Astyanax mexicanus: one gene and its partner. The protein of the gene in region 1 interacts with the protein of each later gene in a pairwise test. Links are inferred from orthologs where the notes say so. Each region holds a gene or a part of one and is shown on either strand. Other genes may lie near its edges.

Region 1 (10,761 bases):
CTGGTTAAGATGTGTTCTTTAGCTTCTCATAAATTGAGTTTTGTTCAAAATAATATAGGACCACGATAGGAAAAAAAGTAAAGTCCAACCTTTAACTCAAGTAAATTTTAAGGGGGAAATAAAATCCCTGACTAAGAAATAATTATTCTTCATAAAATCACCTGTTCCACAATTATTGGCACCCCTAACAATTCTTAGGAAATAAATTTAATAAAAGTATTTCTGTCACTTCTACAGTAGTTTACGAAGTTGATCAGAGTATGTAGGAACATTTAATTAGTAATTCACAACTTCCTGTTTCCCTGGGGTATAAATATGACGTGACACAGAGGCCATTTATCTTCAACATGGGAAATACAAAGGAACATACCATTCAAGTGAGGCAGATGTGTGTTGACCTTCACAAGTCAGGCAATGGCTACAAGAAAATCGCTACTCGCCTACACCTGTCCATATCTACTGTCAGAGGAATTATTAAGAAGTTTAAAACAACTGGAACAGTGGTAAACAAGCCTGGACGAGGACGCAAGTTTATTTTGCCACCACGCACAGTGAGGAGGATGATAAGAGAAATAAAAAGTTCTCCAAAGCTCACTGTTACAGAATTGCAACAAATGGTAGCTTCTTGGGGTCACAAAGTCTCCAAAACAACCATCAGGCGCTATCTACATGCCAACAAGCTGTTTGGGAGGCATGCACGGAAGAAACCATTTCTCACTCACAATCATAAACGCAAACGTTTGGAGTTTGCTAAGCGGTACTGGGACTTCAACTGGGACCGTGTGCTTTGGTCAGATGAAACAAAGATAGAGCTTTTTGGCAACAAATGCTCTAAGTGGGTCTGGCGTAACACAAGAGCTGAGTATGCAGAAAAGCACCTCATGCCCACTGTGAAATACGGCGGGGGATCAGTGATGCTGTGGGCCTGTTTCTCTTCTAAAGGCCCTGGGAACCTTGTTAGGGTGCATGGCATCATGAATGCTCTAAAATACCAGGACATTTTAAAACAAAATCTGGTGGCTTCTGCCCGAAAGCTGAAGATGGGTCGTCACTGGGTCTTTCAGCAAGATAATGACCCTAAACATGTGGCCAAATCTACACAGAAATGGTTCACCGCACACAGAATCAAGCTCCTCCCATGGCCATCTCAGTCCCCAGACCTCAACCCCATTGAAAACCTGTGGGGTGAGCTGAAGAGGAGAGTGCAGAGGAGAGGACCCAGGTCGTTGGATGATTTAGAGAGAATGTGCAAAGAAGAATGGTCAAAGATCCCTCTTTCTGTATTCTCCCATCTTGTGAAACATTACAGGAGAAGATTAGGTGCTGTTTTGTTGGCAAAAGGGGGTTGTACGAAGTATTAACATCAGGGGTGCTAATAATTGTGGCACACATGATTTGATGTTAAATAATTATTTCTTAATGTGGGATTTTTTTCCTACTGAATAAATTCACTTGAGTTAAAGGTTGTATTTTACTCTTTTTTTCCATCGTGGTCCTATATTATTTTGAACAAAACTCAATTTATGAGAAGCTAAAGAACACATCTTAACCAGGGGTGCCAATAATTATGGAGAGCACTGTAAGTTGAACTTTAACCAGCATTCTTATGACAAGGCAACAAGTTTAGGACCTGATAGTGGGTGTTAGATGAATGATAAGTTCAATTTACAAAGTTGTATTTACACATTCTTGATTTTATAATTTAACATGTAGACCGTTAAACCGTGTGAAAGGTCACTCTGGCAGAAATGACATCTACATTTAATGCAGGAGGCCCCACACACACATCTCACAGGTCAGTGCAGCGTTCTTTAGCTTCCATAGGACATGGCAAAAGTCATGGGACACAAAATTAGTTACGTCCCATCACAGTTGGCATGTCAGTGTAGTGTAGGAATGTTGCAACAGGCTAAGCTAGCACTACTGTGCACTGAACAAACCTCAACATTTCACCCTAAACAGACCAGTGGATCTGTTCATTGTGGGGCTAAAGGGCTTTAGCAGTTTTAGACGACTGTTTAGGCCACTGGTGTTCTATAAAAGCACTGGAGTTTAGTGGCATTTCTTCTATATTAGGGCAGTGAGACAAATTTTACTTTCATTGTTATCACAGTTTTCACCATAAACACAAATGGAGCCCTTAATGCTACAGACTGTACTCATGTGACATAACTAGTTAGACAAGGTGAGGTAGAAGTCCACTGTTAACACGCACATCAAACTTAATCTTCAGCCTGAGAAAAACTCTTAAGCTTAAACTGATTGAGGATCTTTATTTATCTTATTTCACATCAATATTGGGATATCAAACAGTGGTTTCACACAATACATGTACAGACATAGTGAAATACACTGAGGTAGAAGAATAATGATCTCTAAGTCCATGATGTTGATTAGTATTAATACTCACTGGAACTCTATCAGGGTACTTGTTGCGGATTTTGGCCGATTCCACACACCGGTGCTCTAAAGATAAGAAACGAGAAAATATGATTAGGAGAATCACCGATGCCTGCACTGCACACTGATGTAAGCAGGTGCTTTATGACGCAAAGCACTTTTCCAATTTATCGGCGTGTCATGCAGTGTTTTGACAGTACTGTGTTAATGTCATATGGAAGTCACAGCAGTAAATCACATGTGATTCGAATGGTACGCATAGAAAGGTAGCCAGTGCTTTGGTAAACAAAAAGATACCCCAGCTAACATCCCTATCCTAATACCAAGCATAATAAGTAATGCTGAATGCATTATTTTGTTTCATTTATGCAAGCACATAGTGTGTATATACAGTAGTGCTCTGATACAGAACACTATAAAACACTGAATAAAAATTAAAGAGTGTTATTTAAACACTGGTTCTTGTTGGCAACCCAACACAGAAGCTGTAAGTGAAGCTCAGAGGAAGAACAGGAGAATGCAGGTTAAGAGCTGTTTAAAAATATGTCAGTAAATTTAATTCAAATAAAAACAGCAATCAGTCAAGAAATATTAAATAATATGCTTGTTTTATCAGCTCAGCTTTCTTCAAAGGTTAAACGAGTGCACAAACCGGTCTGGAAAAGCAATTATATTTGCAGAGACTTTAATAAGAACAGGCAAGAGAGCTTGTTATTAGCCTATTTTTCTCTCTAGTTTGAAGATGTATTACAGTCTAACAGCAGAAAATGCTGCTCAAACATTCTTGTCCAAGCACTTAGCTCAAACACTAATGTGCAGACTCTTAACCTGTCCACAGTAAACAATAAAGAAATCAATACCGGGATAGAGTCTGCCAGTCTAATGATTTCAGGATCAACAGTATAAATATTAAATTGAATTGAATTGAATTAAATTAAAAATAGACTATTAAAAATGATAACCTGAGACTTACTCGATCTTAAAGATAAATAATAAAATTAAAACAAAAATATATCAGTACAAGGCTACAGGCTTCTTGGGAGTTCTGTAAAAATGCTTGGTAACATAAGTTGTAAAAACTATACAAAAACAAAAATCATTTGTCAGCAGCTTTTAGAATTAAAATACAATTTAATACAAATAATAAATTAAAAGGCTATATAGTTTAATTATCAGATCAGATGGATGCAAAAATTTGTTCTACTGTTTTTGTTTTGTTACAATAAAACACTTTAGGCTATTGTATGCTTATAATAAAAGAAGCGTGGCTATAAGCTCTGCTGATAATGATCTCTGAGCATCAGTGGGCATTAGTGTCAGAGAGGCTGGCATTGTCCTGAAGACACACTTTAATAACTGCACTTTAGCACACACTGGCCACAAGAACTCAGGATGTTATATTGATAATCAATATTGAGCTACTGAATATCAATTGGTCGTCTGTAACATATTGATAAGTGTGACATGAGATAATACTTTATTCAAGTATTTTCTAGTTCCACATGACAGAAAATCGTCTCTTTTGAATAAAATGAGTGCATTTATAAAGAGAGGTTGGGGAAAAATAACAACAAGTATATTCCCTTGCACCAATGCAAAAATCAGTGTTAAAATAGATCATGGAGAGCAACATGGGATCTTTAAACAGACAGCAGTTCTGAATAAAGGTGTGATCGCTTTTCTATAGTAAGATGGTTTATTTTGGGTCAGTGAAGGGGTGGTGTAGTTATTTACCCTACGTCTAGCTAATAACGTTTTAACACACACACACACACACACACACACACACACACACACACACACACACACACACACACACGCACGGCCTAACAATGTAAACATGATTACGACCAGCCCCTAGTATTCAGACATGCAGGTACAGATCTCCACATTATCTGAGGCTGGTGTTTACTGGCGGTGAATAATGAGCGCGGGTCTGTGTGGGTTTGATAAAAGTCAGTTTTATATCAGATTAAACAGAATTACCCAGAGAATGATCTTCTTTAAACATCCATTTCATGGTGGCGGATTCGGGCGGCCCTCTCCCAGTGCGGTGAAACAATGAATCAGTGTACAGGAGCTGCAAGAATAACCCGAGCAGAAAGAGACAGAAACGGAGATTATCCTGAAAACAGCAGCGGTGTCAACACTCCGCCTGCATTAGCCTTAGCACTAGCATTAGCTTTAGCACTGCTGGACGGACGGCTGACGTCATGCAGGTCATACCAACCAGCTCTGTGGGGGATGTGCCGAAACAGGACTCGGGTTAAATCCTGCACCCGGTGACCAACCACATTCCCCAAAGATTTTGATTTGTAAATATGTAAATATTGTTTGTATTATATTAAGCTTGAAATATACATTTAACGCATAATTCATATTATAACACATAGTTTTATTATTTGTGGGAAGCACCTTTATCCTAAAAAGCATTAACTTGAAAAGTGTTAAAAGAGCCTTAATCATTTAAAACCTTTAAGTGAACGTTGATTCAATTCAGGTAGCCAATGTTAGATAAAGGTTGTATAATCAATATTATATATATATATATATATATATATATATATATATATATATATATATATATATATATATATATATATATATATATATATATATATATATAAGGTTTAGTGTTAGTGTTCTTTGATATAAGTGGGAGGGTGGCCTACAGGCTTGTTTTTTTTTTTTTTACATTTATATTTATCCTTACAACTGAATATGGGCTTTTCATATTGTTTAGCAATTGAAAAAAAAAATAATGTACGTTCACCATAATTCTGAATATATGTCTGGAAAACCTTTTATTAGGACATGTTTGTTAAATGTAAATTATCATTGTATATATGTTTTTTTTATTGTCCTTTATTTTATTTATCGTATTAATAATTGTCTTGCATTCTAATCAGTCATGAAATCAAGTGGACCAAATAGTCTGAAATGTCCAATTCAGTAATCAGATCAGTTTCACACACAGTATACCAGAAACCAGGAGAGCTATGTCCAGACGTTTGTCTCTAACCATTGTTTTAAATATTGTCATAAAAAAAAAAATTAGGCCTAATATACTATTAAGGCTATTTATTGGTTAATGAGTATGTTATAAATACTGGTAATTCTGTGGCCTTTGTTATGCCCATATTTGGGCTTCAGCTTCTTAGCTTGATTTTCAGTGGCAGAGTTCATTTTTAAATCACCTATATGTTCTGTGGTGATTAAATACAGAATATAACACTTTTGTGTACGTGTTTCTCCTGCACATCACGTTAAAATAACATTCCTGGAACACTATCTGTAATGTTCCTTCCTGGGACCTTTTTTAAAACGTTGCAAAAAAAAAAGTAATAAATCTGTTTTAAATGGTAGCTTTATTTTGGTATGATTTAAGTTTTTTGCTAAGAGGTGGAATAATAAATATATTTGACAACAGAGGGGGTGGGGCGTGGGTGGCCATGGTAACTGTGGGCGGATGTTCGCTTTCTGTTTCCTGGAGGCGGTCATGGTAACGCTGGGACGCTTCGCTTCAGGAGCAGTTACCGTTAGCATTAGCATTAGCATGGCTTTTAAACCCGAATTAGGCACTGCACGTCTGCGGCCGAACTGATAGATACAGTACATTTAATCCGAATTAAATACGAGAGAAACCGATTCTACAGCACACAACACACCTTAACACATCTCCATTACAGCTTAACCTTAACCAATGCTAACCAGAACAGCCCCACTGTTATTTCTCAGTAGGTTTTAACTGTTCTTCAGAGCGAGTTTAGAACTGTTCTTCAGAGCGAGTTCAGAACAGCGAGGAGGGTTTCAGTGATGGCTTTTTATGAAGTGTACTCCCACCCTGCTTTAATAAGATATAAAACCAATGTGTGTACTCGCGCCACCCTGTTCGTGCTGATGGTTTTCTGTCTTACGTACATCCCGCCACTGCTGGTCGCCTACAAGAGCCAAGGTAAGTGTTCACTACAGCAGCACCTCATTAATACAGCTGGTATACTGTAAGAATTTAGTATATTAACCCCGTGAACTTGCTCATGGACTTACTTAATATACTGGCTGTGCTGACTAGCTTATGAACTCCAGGAGCTCATGTTAAACAGTGCATGGCTTTACTGACTGACACCTCCAATACAGTGCAGCATTTCATCAGTAACTGATGTTTTTTTTCTTTGTTTGCAGGATTCTGGCTGAAGAGAAGCACATATGAGGAGCAGCCGGTTGTGCAGTTCCAGTACCAGATGTTAATGATTGGAGCCACTGGAACAGCAGGAGAATTTGTGGCGTGGAGCACTTTTCCTGACTTTAACCGTCTGCTGGGAAGCAACCTTCGCATCCCTGCAGTGTCTGTAAGTACTACAGACACAGAAATGTACACAAAAGTTTGAATACCACAAACTAGCTAGCACACAACATGTTCCCAGAGTTCACCAGAGCATCACAAACAAAATGTTATTTACTCATAAACACAGGTTCTTTTCTTTGGAAGGCGGTGGATATAATTTTTATGGTGCCTCACCAACACTAGATAGCTTTGGTCTGAGTAGCTCCAAATAACTAAATAGCTTTTGGAGTGTTCGGTTAACACAGCTAGATAGACAGTACAAAGGTGGAAGAAACAAACTTTTGACAGTGGGTGTGGGCATATGAAATAAGTGTATTATGTTTAAAAGCACATGTTTGTGTTTTGCAGGTCAAGGAGGAGGACAGCAATCAGGATGGAAAATCAGACCGGCTGCGTCTCCAGCTCAGTGTTCCACTGAAAGCAGAAGAGCAGATTTACAGCATTCAGCTACTCCTCACCTTCTCATACCAGTTGTTTGTGTGTATCAGCACAGTACCACAAAAACACACCCTAACCCTTAATTTAGGGCAAACTGTCCCAAAATTATTCAACAAAATCCCACAAACACAAGCAAATGCCACCCTACGCCAAATACAGTCCAATGGCAGAAATCACCTCAACTCTACAAAAAACTCTAATACCAAATATATAATAAAACACTTACAAATGCCAGCAGACACTAGGTAATGCCATCAAATGTAATCAGTTTGCATCATACAATATTACATAGCAACAAACATCAGGTGTCAATAGCTGCCATCGAACCAACCAACAATCATCAAAAAATACACTCCACACTCCAACAAACATTAGTAAACAAAACACTGGGTTGTTGTGCCATACATATTTCTGATGCTTTTCTCACTGCATTTGCAATTTTTTTTTTCACTTGATTGAACAAGTGGAACTGTCAGGTTGAATTCATGTCACTCTTTTTGTAGCGGATGTCCACTGTAGTGATGCAGTCTATGGCCTTTATTCAGCACTCCTCCTCCGTTCCTGGATCACAGCTGTTCATCAATGGGGACCTGAGGCTCCACCAACAGATCCCACTGCCACACAGAGGTCTACATGCTGCCTACAATGTGAGAGTTTGTGTTCATACTTTACACCACACTTTTAAATGCTTTTTGTAGGTGTGTTTACGTGCTATATTTCTTTTTAGGTGTCAGTGGTCGAAACAGGGAGTCCCTTCGCTACTTCCTATGACTTGGCCAGCATCATCAGAGCCTATCAAGCAAGAAACTGTAAGAGAAAGTGTTTATATGTATTTGTATATGTCTGTGTTGTAAATTGATAGTTTCCAAAGCAAATATTCCTCCTTAATTCAGTTTTTCTCCTTAATTCAAATGTAAATGTTCAGTCGTAACTCACATTTAATGCCCGTTGAGACGCTTATACAGTGCCCTTCAAAAGTATTTTATTCAAACAATAAATAGCACAGAATGTCTACACTCAGTTTCAGATCTGCAGACTGTGCATTTAAAGTTAGAGAAGTAACCAACATGAAAACCAGCTGTCTATGAGTAAAAAACAAGCAACTGTGAAACTGAGAGAAAATGGAAAATCTATCAGAACCATTGCACACATATTGTCCATAGCCAGAACAACAGTTTTGAATGTCTTGAAGAAGAAATTCGTCACTGGTGTACTAAATAACAGATGTTAACAGGTACACCAAGTAAAAAACTGCAGCAGTGGATGACAGGAACATTGCGAGTGCTGTGAAGAAATAATTTTTAGTGACATCAGCAGCAACCTCCACAAGGCAGGGGTGAAGGTATCACAATCTACTGTTCACTGAAGACTTCATGAACACAGAGGCTTCACTAGAAAATAAAAAACACTATTAATGAGGTGAATAGAAAGGCCAGGCTGGAATTTACCAGAGTACAAAGCCAAGCCTGTGGACTAATGAGACAAAGATTAACGTTTACTAATTTGATAGAAAGGCAAGTTTGGAAAAAAAAAAAAAAGGACCTGTTTCTAAACATACCAGCTCATATCTGAAACACAATGGAGGTAGTGTTATGATTTGGGCTTGAATTATTTATTCTGGGACAGATTCATTAATATTCATTGATGCAAAGTGAACTCTGAGGTCTACAGAAACATTTTGTCTGTGAATTTAAAGAATGATGAAACCAAACTGAATGGAAGATTCTTCTTCATTCAGCAAGATATTGACCCAAAACACACTGCCTGGAAAAGCATCACAAAAGAAGAGGGCAAAGGGTTAGTGATGTCAGTGGGTCACAGACATGATGCAGTTACTGTGCTGATTGGTATGTTGGTGTGTACCACAATGAACATCACCATCACACCAGTACAGAAAGCTAAGAAAAGAAAATGATAGACAAACATGTGTAGGGTAAAGTAAGACCATTTCCAAGCAGCTTGATGTTCCTGCTACTACAGTTGCACATGTTATTCAGAAAGTTAAGATCTAAAGGACTGTAGCCAACCTCCCAGGACGAGGAAAATTAATGACAAATTGAGAGAGTAATATGAATTGTAACCGAATTGCCAAATACAACTCCCAAAGAATTTAGACGTAAATTCCAAAGTCAAGGTACATCAGTGTCAGATCACACAATCTGTCGCTGTTTCACCCAAAGTGTGCTTAATGTAAGACAACCCAGAAGGAAACAACTGTTAAGAGCAAATCATAAAAAAGCAACACTGCTAAATTAGCTAATAGCTATGTGGTGTCCCCAAAACATGCTGCCAAATAGCTGTACACAATGTTTAATAGCCTGCTGAACTTTTAGGATTCCATATCTTACTACTTAATGATCAGTGTTCACAGAAGTTGCTACTTCAGACCGAAAAATGATACGACATTAAACCAGCTGACTGGATATTCTAACTCGAATGTAAAAGGAACAAATTCCTGAAAGTTGCCAAGGCAGATTAAGGAAGATAGGATACTTATTTAGTTTCTTCCTGCCTCCCACCTACATTTCTGATCTTATTCATAGGTATTGACCTCCATGCTCTCCCCGCTCTGCTGACAAAAGTCTGCTTCCTGTTCTGCATACCTGATTACGCACTTTTGTAGATAGATCTCTGTTCGATTACTTCCCTCTTCTCTTTTAAAAACAACTAAAAACTTTTTGGGTACCTTCCCACAGGATCTGTGACTTAAAATGGATAAATTCATGGTTGTACATACAGCCTCTTTTATATATTTTATTTACATGTTTTCGTTACTATTTTGTCTGGTTTTTAGTCTAGTTATCTAGTTTTTAGATTTTATTTTGTCTTTGTTTTACTATATTATATTTGTGATGTTGACTTTTGTGTTTCTATGTGTGAAAGATGCCTATCAATAAAATTATATTATTAGTGTTATAGTAATAATAATTATTATTATGGTAATCATAATAACAATTTTTAAAATTTTATGCAATCTGTTTTCCAAGCTGAATTAATACCTGATGTTTGATAACAAATGGACGGTGCTGTGTTGGTTAGATTAATAGGTTCTGGGGTTTGATAACAGATGGTTGGCGCTGTGCTGGTTAGATTAGTATGTTTTGAGGTTTGATAACAGATGGATGGGGCTGTGCTGGTTAGATTAGTAGGTTCTGGGTTTGATAACAGATGGACGGTGCTGTGCTGGTTAGATTAATAGGTTCTGGGGTTTGATAACAGGTGGACGGTGCTGTGATGGTTAGATTAGGAGGTTCTAGGGTTTGATAACAGATGGATGGCGCTGTGCTGGTTAGATTATGAGGTTCTGGGGTTTGATAACAGATGGATGGTGCTGTGCTGGTTATATTAGTAGGTTCTGGGGTTTGATAACAGATGGATGGTGCTGTGCTGGTTATATTAGTAGGTTCTGGGGTTTGATAACAGATGGATGGTGCTGTGGTGGTTAGATGAGTAGGTTCTGGGGTTTAATAACAAATGGGCTTGGGATGCTGCAATTCCATATTCCAAAGTGTGCTTAATAGAAGACAACCCAGAAGGAATTAACTGTTAAGAGCAAATCATAAAAAAGCAACACTGCT
Region 2 (9,714 bases), on another chromosome or scaffold:
GTACTGAGGAGGCACTGGTGGATCCTATACTGTTGGCTCTAGACACCATTGTTCCTTTCCGAGAACTCTCTGCAAAGAAACCTGTAAAAGAGGAAACAATACAAGACAATGTCCAACATAAACAACCAAGAAATATATTTATTGTTTTCCTCCTAAGTTAAAAAAGTTAAGTAAGAGTAAAAAAAAATAGGTGATTTAAAATTTTGTAAAACCACTAAACCATTTTTTTTATCTATTACCACCAAACTGCACGCTGTTGATTTTCTTTTGAGTAAATGGCATTTATATTATTTACATGGTTACCATTTTGGTCAGTGATATATGTTATATATGCAGCCTATATAACACACATAGTTACTAAGCTTAATGTACAGTATAATGCAAAGGTTTGTTCAACTGATTTTTCTAATATTTTAAATGAAAATAAAATAACAGGGTAACATTTTTCCTTACATTTAAGATTTGCTATTTATTTTCTGACATATTTTAATATATATTACCTTATTGTCTTTTTGTTTTGAGGTATGCTATATTAAGGAAACAGTCATTTATATATATATATATATATATATATATATATATATATATATATATATATATATATAATAAAATGTTTTACTTCATGACATAATGTGAATCTAATTGTCATTTACCTTAAGTCAACATCTATTAATTAATGAGGGAATAAAATTCCTCCAATTTTTTTTTACTTTGACTTTCATTAAAAGATAATACGGTTTTCTGCTTCTGCATATTTATTGATCTGTAACAGTGAAGATATACAAGCACTAAAACTATAAAACTATACACTACATTTTTCTAAACCCAATTAATTAAACATATGACATAATAAAACCAATGAACTACTACAATAACACTAAACTAATAAAACCACTCCTTTCAGGGCTGCTTAAATAGACACACACTTAAAGCCAGGCTTAAGTACTTACTGTGGTCAAAGCCATTGTCGCTAAAGGTGCCGTCCGTCTGCTGAGCCATGGCGAGGTGAAGTTCAGGACGAGGGAAAAATAAACACTCGGATTAATTCAGACAAAATGACAGAATTCTCTTAACGGTAAAGAAAAGAGAGACACAGACAGACAGACAGACCGATACAAACCACCCGCCAGCACTAAAAGTTATACACCTGGCACATCATGCATCTAGGACACCAGTACTCCCTACTGTGATATGTCCTCAATAAATAACCATTAGCACCCCGCTACGCCCGGCAGAGACGGCTTTATTACTTTACAAAACGCTGGAACCATAAAAGCGAAGGCACTTTCAGCAATGATGAGAATAATAAATGCCATTTACAATGCTAACAATGAGAAATGCCACTTAAATGTACCTGCACTTACAATGCCAGTGAATAGGGCTCGGTTAAAATTATGATAATTTAGCATTATAAAGATAAACTGTGACAATTTTAGCTGTGGATGAAGATCAACCTTTAACAGCATGCTTCATCATTATCAAAATAGCATTATTATTATTAGGGATGCAGCAATGACTTTAGACAATGCAGAAATACACTCTAAAAACGGGAGGTTACACCGATTACAGATTGTCTTTCAATGCGTTTGGTGGATCGCTGATGCCAATTGAAGACCTCAGGAGGGGAATCCGGTTACTGGTATTAAAGGCACACCATGCAACATTTTCAGTTAATCAATGCATTTCATACTGTTTAAGATAAATACATGGGTAATTATGAAGCGTAAGAAGTTTCTCACTTTTTCACCCTTTTGGTCTGTAGGGGAAAAAAAAATCTTGGGCATTGCAAGAGTCAGTCTCGCTTTATGGCAAATGCTACATATATCCTCAGCAAAAAGCAAGAGGCAGGCTAGTTGCTAGAGGGCCATAGTTATAGATGTGCAAGTCTTCTCCGAATAGCCAGAGCTAAAATTCTAATATTGCCTGTCTATTATTATGAACTATTTTGCAAGCTTGCTTCATAAGTGACGTTTAGTCCAGGTATGTGTATTTACTTTACTAAACAGCACATTATTTGGCACAAATTTGGTTTGAAGTGGATTTTACAATATATAAAATCAGAATCCAGTATAAGATCTTGTCGCACTTGCTACTCAAAAAACTCTTTTCTGACTTTTTTTCCCCCAAACATGCAATGTACAAACCCTTTTCTGATATGTTTAATAGTCTATTGTGCTCAACACATCATGCATGGCTAGGGTATGGAACCAGAGGAATAGCATTGTGACAGAGAACATTTACTCTTGGTCTGTAGGGGAGCCTCTAAAAAAAACAACCAAGGATGGCAGCATAGTGTGCCTTGCTCCCTTCAAGAGGCGCAATACAATGCGATTCTGCAGCCATGTACAAGCCTTATATTTCCATATACATTTTTTTTTTTTACCAAGAAATGTAATCATCATGTGATAGAGGATCTTTGCACAAAGAATATAATCTGACCGGCTCTTAGAATCAGCATATTAGAGCAATATTGCATTATTTGTCTAAAAACATCTGACAATATTAAAACTGCCAATCAACTTTACAGCTTTTCTAGCACAGTGAAGAATAAACCACTTTATATAATTATTTTGGACCTATGACTTTCCTGGTGAAATCTAGTGAAAATTTGTAAAATTTGTATCACAATATATATTTTGCAGAAAAAACATATTGCAATGTCAGATATGTGCCAGTATCGTGCATCCATATTGCCCACATCTATCCCTTGATAAACAGTCAACCACTTTATTAAACCGCATTAAAGCACAGATTTGTGCTGACTTCAAACTTGAAAAAGTAAAAAAAAAATGGGAGGGGTAGTTTGGGCATGGCACTGGGTGATGTTTGGGTTTAGAGGCGGTGCAGAAGGGAGAGCTGACAGGCTAAGCTGCAGCAACAGCAGTGTGCCTTTGATACCCAGATGGTTTGAGTTCAGCAGGGGGGTGTTATTATTTATTGACAGGTGTTATCTGCATATTGTAAGTGTCTGCATACCAATGTACACGGACACATCATCCTTGCCTATAGCACAGTTGAACCTGGTTAGGAAATGTATATACAAAATTTAAGCAAAACTAATACGTTTTGTGCCTTTTCAGGAACACATTTCATCTATTAATGAAAAAAATATGGCTTAGTGTCACTTTAAGTATCCAACTAGCTATCTAGCTATACAGCCAATTTCTGTCAGTAATGCTAGTTTAACAATTTATATCAGTATCACTAAGTATTAAACTAAAACAAAGCACCCCCTAAAAAGTGAAACAGAGCTCACTGTAAGGTAAACATGTTTTACACAATAGTAAACTCTCCTTTCTAAGCTACTTAACAGTAAACTTTACAAAATATGTAAAGAATGTCGTTTTTACACAAGTTTTCTAGCTAAGCTAACCTAGCTAGCTAATCCAAACTAAGGTTAGTTTAGCTAGTTAGCGTTTCCGAATCCAATGTAGGTCAGCTGAGCTCGGTGACAACACCGAGTTTTGAGAAGAGGCTAACTTACAGTCTTAGCTAACGCTAACTAACTACCTAATTTAGCTATTTAAGTTATTTTAGAGTTTATGAGGCGGATATTTTAGTTGTACAATACTGTACTAAGTTGTATATTTTAATGTACAATATAGACAAACGAGCTTATTTAAAATCATTTAGAAATATATATTTACAAATATAGCTTGTTAGCTAGCTAAGACATTAAGCTTGTTACTAGAGTTGGCTAATCCAGGTCCAGAAATACGAATCCATCCCAGGGTTTTGTTCCAACAGCCTGTGCGGGTCTACTTGCAGCTACAGCGTCCACGCAGTTGGAGCAAAATCCCGGAGTGGATTTATACTTATGGACGTTTCTGGACATTCTCTATCCCAAATAGAGATACATCATTGTTATATCAGTGATCATTCGCAGTCTGATAAGTTACTACAGTGTTATAAATCATGTTATAAGTCTGGGAAGACGTTGGCTAACGCTAATATGACGTAGATAAACACAAAGGAGCCAGATCCCCAAGTTTTCTTTTGTTTAGCCAGCTTTACTATTAGTCTTCTATTGATCATCATAAAGTGAAAGTAACGTTAGTTGATTCCAGCGCTTATATTCTCTAATCTCAGGTTTATCACATCAGTAAAGCACCTGACTGTCTTCTACAGGAGTTAAACAGCTGAACTGTCTGCTTACTTTGTGCCAGGGATCCTCCGGCGACGCGCTGGGCTCCGTCATTTTGGAAGAAACACGGAAAGATCACGGGATGAGGAGCTGAGGGGAGCGCGCTGGAGAACAGCGCCGTCTGCTGCTGCTGATCTCAGCTGATCAGGAGTCAGAACCCGGGGACACACTCCTCTATCACCAGCAGAGGAGGGTAAAGAGGTTTTAGAGCTCACAGCAGGAGGAAATCTGGATATTCATAAATTCTCTTCACATAAAACATTTTTTTATGGAATAACTTCTGACATTACTATGAAAAATAAGTCAGTGTTTTATCCAAAGTTCTTTTACATAAATATTCAGGGAATTATTAATATTTTTGACAGCTCTGGAAATTACACATCTGAAAAGGTACTATCAATGCTGAATTTATACAGTATGCAGTACATAGAGGCTTTAGAACTTCCTGACAATGTCTCTTTCAGGAAGCCTTGCATATGTCAGCAATACAATGCTAAACCACATACTGCATCCATTTTGAGATATCATAATTTTCGAGCTATTAAGCGCAACTGTAAGCCCCACCCACTAATTAAAAAAAAATGTTTGTATACAGGCCACACATAATTAGCCTGACTACAAGCCGCACATGGCTATGAGCCACACTTTTAATTAAACAGGCCATGTACACAAATATAGTTACGTACCGTGAACAGTGCTGCGTTCACGGTACATAAAATATGTTCTTAGGGTGTACGTACGGTTTAAAATAATACAGTAGTCACAAGATCCTTGTCATAAAATTAATTGGTAAGTCTAATATAAATGTATAGGCGAAAAAAGGGGTTTGTTGAATGTAATTTGCTTTAAAACCAGTTACAAAGAAAATAAAAGCTCAACTGGTAACAGCTGGATACCTCTGCGAAGCACCGCACACTCTGCCGACCCGGGATGCGGTAAGCTCAGAACCCCACTTTAAAATGACCAAAAATTACGGTACATAAAGTTTTACAAAAATAAAAGCAAGAAACATTGAGCATATTGATATATTAATGTATATTAATACTGTATAAATACACTTACCTTTTGTTATACTTTTTCATATTGGAATAGAACTACATTGGAAAACATTATTTATGTATGTAGGGAGCGACAGGGGTGACATTCAGAAGCCAGATTGCTCCAGGGAAGAGGCTGGAGATGTTGAAGTGATATTTTGTGTGGGTGGTGCTGGCCTTGAAATGTCTCTGTAATGGCAGTTTGGTGAAGAGATCACTATCACTACGGGGGTCTGAACAGTTCCTCTCATCATTCTTCCTTATTCTGGACACGCTCGCGGCTCCAGCGGTGGTTACTGGCAGGGTCGATACGGGCAGTTGCCTAAGGCAGTGAAAGCTTAGGGGCACACCCACATAAACACACATTCTTTTAAGTGGTGTTTATGTCCTGGGGTCCTTTTTCTTCCATGAATATACAGAAAAAGTTATAGACTAAAACTAGCTGATTTATTTTGTACATAAATTATACATACAGATTTACAGAAGATGTTGTACAGAAGTACTGACTGACAAAACTGTGTTTATGATATATATTTTATTAATGTGGAAAAGATGCGTGGCTCAGTGGTTTGAGCACTGTGTTATTGATCACAGGGTTGTGGGTACAATGTCCTTGTTTGCTGGGCTGCCGCTGTTGGGCTTTTGCTGCTCAAATCCAGCTTTTCCTTGCTCTCCTTCAAAATGACTTGACAAATGGATCAGCAAAAAAAGGTAAAGGCTGCATTTACTATTGTAGAGAGCCATGATTTTGGTCCGACAGCAACTATCTGAAACAATCCTGTATGGTTACTCCCAAGCTAGACGTTTACAAAAGGAAAAAAAATCAAAGTTACACCTGCACAAACACCTTTAAGAATGCAGCAAGTGGTTCCTGAAGGGTTAGTCAGCTTTTTAATTTAATTAACTTGTTACTTGTTATTTTTGGTTATCATTGCCATCTCTCCTTAGTTTCACTAAATTCATGTGCAGGACTAGCAGTAATGTTAATGTCAGCTTGTGCTAAATAGCAAAACATGAGCAAGGTAGTTCATGCATAATTGAGATAGAAACAAAACTCTGCTGACTTGCCACGGACAGCAGGTACAGATCCCTCCCTCAGACAAAGTCTGCTGGGTAATCTTGCTGTGTACTGTCCAAGGTTCTCAAAGCTGTCTGCCTTGAAGTGGTTTGCACACACCAGAAGTTTCTTGGCGATTGTTGTTGAAACATGGCCATTGAAAAAAGAATGTGTTGTTCTTGGCAGCCAAAAAACACCACATGTGACTTTCTTTTGCCTGTAGCCAACGCATTCAGTGTGGCAGATCTTCAACTGATCTATTGGGTGAGGCTCTGGTAGGGGTTGATGTATGAAGGGTGGTGCCTGAGTGGTTCTATGCAAATTTTATCATTCTGACGTAAGACTAAGGGTGGAAATCCACATGTGTATAACACCAAGGGCCTAGGCATGCAGACTGCTTCTACAAACATTAGTGAAAGAATGCGGCACTATCAGGAAATCAGTGAATTCCAGTGTTTTACTGTGATAGGATGCAGTACCTGTGAAACAAGTCCAGTCACAAAATTTCCTCACTAGTAAATATTCCACAGCCAACTGTCTGTGCTATTATAACAAAGTGGAAGCAACTGGGAACAAAAGCAACTCGCTCTGCCAATGTAAAATAACAGAGACAGGAGTCAACGGATCTCCAACTTTCTACAGCAGAGTCTATCACTCCAGACCTTCAAACTTCATGTGGCTGTCAGATTAGCCCAAGAACAGCGTAGAGCGTGAAGACCTTCATGGAATGGGTTCCATGGCTGAGCCGCTCCACCCAAGCCTTACATCACCAAACTCAAGACAGACGAGCTGCTTCTCTTGGTAATATGGTGTATGTACCACACGGTGGCATTCTGAGGTAAGTTTATGGAGATATAGTAAGTCAAAAGTGGGTAGAAGGCCAGATCTAGCCAACATGACTTTTGTTTTTCCACAAGGCCAAACCTTCTTTTGCACATATTTAATAATTAATAAAGACCAACACCAGTTTATCTTTCAGCTTGAAGTTAGTACTATGTCACATCTATTACGATTTTTTCTCTCTCTTTCTTTCTCTTGCTCTGGCTTTCAGCCTCTTCTCTTGCTCTTTTTCTCTCTCTCTCTCAGTTTCTCTTGCGCATCGTTTTCAGGAAGCGTCTGTTGCTTCTGCTTTTTTCTGTGGTTTCCTCCTCTTGCACTTCAACCCTCCCTTGTCACTAAACGCTAAACGTTTTTTCAAACAAGGAGACACACACACACACACACACACCAGAGCCCACTAGAAGTTTAACATTCGGACAGGTGTCTTCTTCTCTTCTTCGTTCACACTTCCTATCTTTTCGAGGATAAACTTCAGTGTTGTTGGACAGACAGTGGATGTTACTGAAAGGATGAAGAAAGATGCTTCAGCGTGCGTCACTCTCAACCAGAGGATGAGCAGACAGAGGCCTAGTGCTGAGCAACGTTACTGAACAGCTGGAGGGCATTCAAAACTTGATTCACTTTGCCTGAAGGACAGCTATTGTTCATAAAGTGAATGTTAGCATTGTAAGTGGCATTTCTGCTTCCCTTTTTTCCAGACACAGTGTTTTTTGCATACATATGTGTGTCTGGTGTGTTTTTCCCTCCATTTTGAAACGAACAGGAGATTGCTCAATATAGGACTGTGTGTTTTGCTTCTTATGCATTAAATTGATGGTAAAACCCTATTTTTTTTTATCGGTAGAGTACAAGATTACAAAATTCTGATTATTTTTGTTTTTTTGCTACTTTTTCCCTTTGATCTTTCCTCCTGCTCTTGCTGTTTTTGACAGCATGTCATAAAAGAAATGCTTCAGCCACTTTTTTGGACCTGACCGAACCAAAGAACATTGTGGAGATTCGTAAACTTTCGAAAAAGGCATTGGATTTGATCTTTAAGAGTTGACTGGCCGTGATTGGTCAGAAGCCGTTTGCTGTGGGAATTGTCACTTGCTGGAGGTTGGGATCCTGGAATACTTTCGGAAGGTAGTGATGGGTAATGCGGCAGGTGGCCTAGAGCAGCCGGAGGGCCAGGAGGCCCGGGCCTCGTTGGGTGGGACCAGTCCCTTACCTGGCACAATAAAGAAGAAAACGGCCCCACCCAAACTCCCCATGCCCCCCGAGGAGGAACTAGAGGAGCGCTTCAATGTGGTTTTGGTGAGTGATTCACACATGAACAGTGATGGAACAAAAAGAAAGAACGCCCACATATGTTTAGATGTAAACAAGAACAATCAAATATTAATTGTTTTAAAAGGATACATAATGATTAAAGACACAAATAGGACAGTTTAATACCGAAGTAAAACTTTACACGACAATCAAACACACATCAAACAAGCAAGAAGAGCAAAAAGAACAATGTACAACCATGACTAAATATTCTCACCATGTGCAAAAGTACATTAAACACATACACTCCTGATTCCTGCAAATATATCTTAAGTCCCTTATTTCGCTTATAAAATATGTAGATATATTTTAGGCCTCACAACCAAATGATAAATAATAGCCCAGATATGCCTACATGTATAAGATAAATACTGTATAAAGCTCCTGAAAATACAGGTGGTTTAGTAAATATCAGATAACAAAAGTTAAAGAACCCACTTTAAACAGACAAACAAACAGTGGATCTAACTTACATTAACAACCTATTTCATTTTTGCTGATTTTTTTTTTTTTTTCAATTTTATCCATTGTGTTTATTTATTTATCAGAGCCTATTAGTCTAAATGAGCCAGTGTGTTGACTTTGTTTTAAAACAGTGTTTTTATTTGATTTATGTTTTATTTATTTTGGATATTTGAACATTTCTAATCTGCCATTGCCTTGTTGTTGAAGGTCAGTCAATCCCAAAAAGTATAAGAACTTTAAAAGCATCTTTAGGTGTAGTCGCAAAAAACATCAAAAATGTTATGATGAAAGTGGCTCTCATCAGGACCACCCTAAAACAAGGAAGACAAAGAGTTATCCCATAAGAGATAAGAGCCCACCTAACTTCTTCACCGAATACTTTAAATGAGAAGATGTGTCCAGAGTTTTGACTGGTACTGTGTATCATGTAAATGTCCTGAAACCACAGGCGGTTTAATTACTAAGTAACCAAATCTTATTCTAATGTTAAATATCTCACTACAAACAAATAGCATTTACAGCATTTTATTTTAGAATATTAGACAAAAATATAAAAACCAATATAAATCTGCAATTAGTAATTTAATATTAGTACATATTATATAACTTATGCATTTAAATTGATTTTTTTGTTAAATACCTTTTGCTTTCGTTTGCTGTGGACTCATTTGACCCATTTGGGTACTAGTTAGGCCTTGTCTAGAGAAAGTAGGTGATTAGCTGTGTATTAACGAGGTTTTTCACAGTGAATCAACAGCGGGAGAGGAGACTTAATGGCCAGGGTTCAGTAGTTTTGGGTGATTTCCCTGCTTTAATGCACTCTCTAAACGTACTAATTAAAGGGGTGAGATGAATCAGGT

The links. The genes of interacting proteins can lie anywhere in the genome.
Region 2: the proteins of gabarapl2 (region 1) and mlx interact in binary tests that used the Homo sapiens proteins (3 or more experiments, as listed by UniProt). The two-hybrid records come from large-scale screens. The link is inferred for Astyanax mexicanus from reciprocal best matches to the Homo sapiens genes GABARAPL2 and MLX.

Annotation. Positions count from the first base shown.
Region 1 is NC_064417.1:10,971,742-10,982,502, forward strand, and holds the start of gabarapl2 (gamma-aminobutyric acid receptor-associated protein-like 2), read right to left. Parts: upstream 4,613-10,761; 5' UTR 4,421-4,612; coding exon 4,387-4,420; intron 2,467-4,386; coding exon 2,411-2,466; intron 1-2,410. Other genes in the region: tmem231 (transmembrane protein 231), read left to right, coding at 6,217-6,355, 6,583-6,749, 7,094-7,222, 7,687-7,830, 7,911-7,992. UniProt on the Homo sapiens protein: Ubiquitin-like modifier involved in intra-Golgi traffic. Modulates intra-Golgi transport through coupling between NSF activity and SNAREs activation. It first stimulates the ATPase activity of NSF which in turn stimulates the association with GOSR1.
Region 2 is NC_064426.1:23,205,917-23,215,630, forward strand, and holds the start of mlx (max-like protein X), read right to left. Parts: upstream 4,296-9,714; 5' UTR 4,199-4,295; coding exon 4,157-4,198; intron 991-4,156; coding exon 951-990; intron 82-950; coding exon 1-81. Other genes in the region: fmnl1a (formin-like protein 1), read left to right, coding at 8,210-8,374. UniProt on the Homo sapiens protein: Transcription regulator. Forms a sequence-specific DNA-binding protein complex with MAD1, MAD4, MNT, WBSCR14 and MLXIP which recognizes the core sequence 5'-CACGTG-3'. The TCFL4-MAD1, TCFL4-MAD4, TCFL4-WBSCR14 complexes are transcriptional repressors.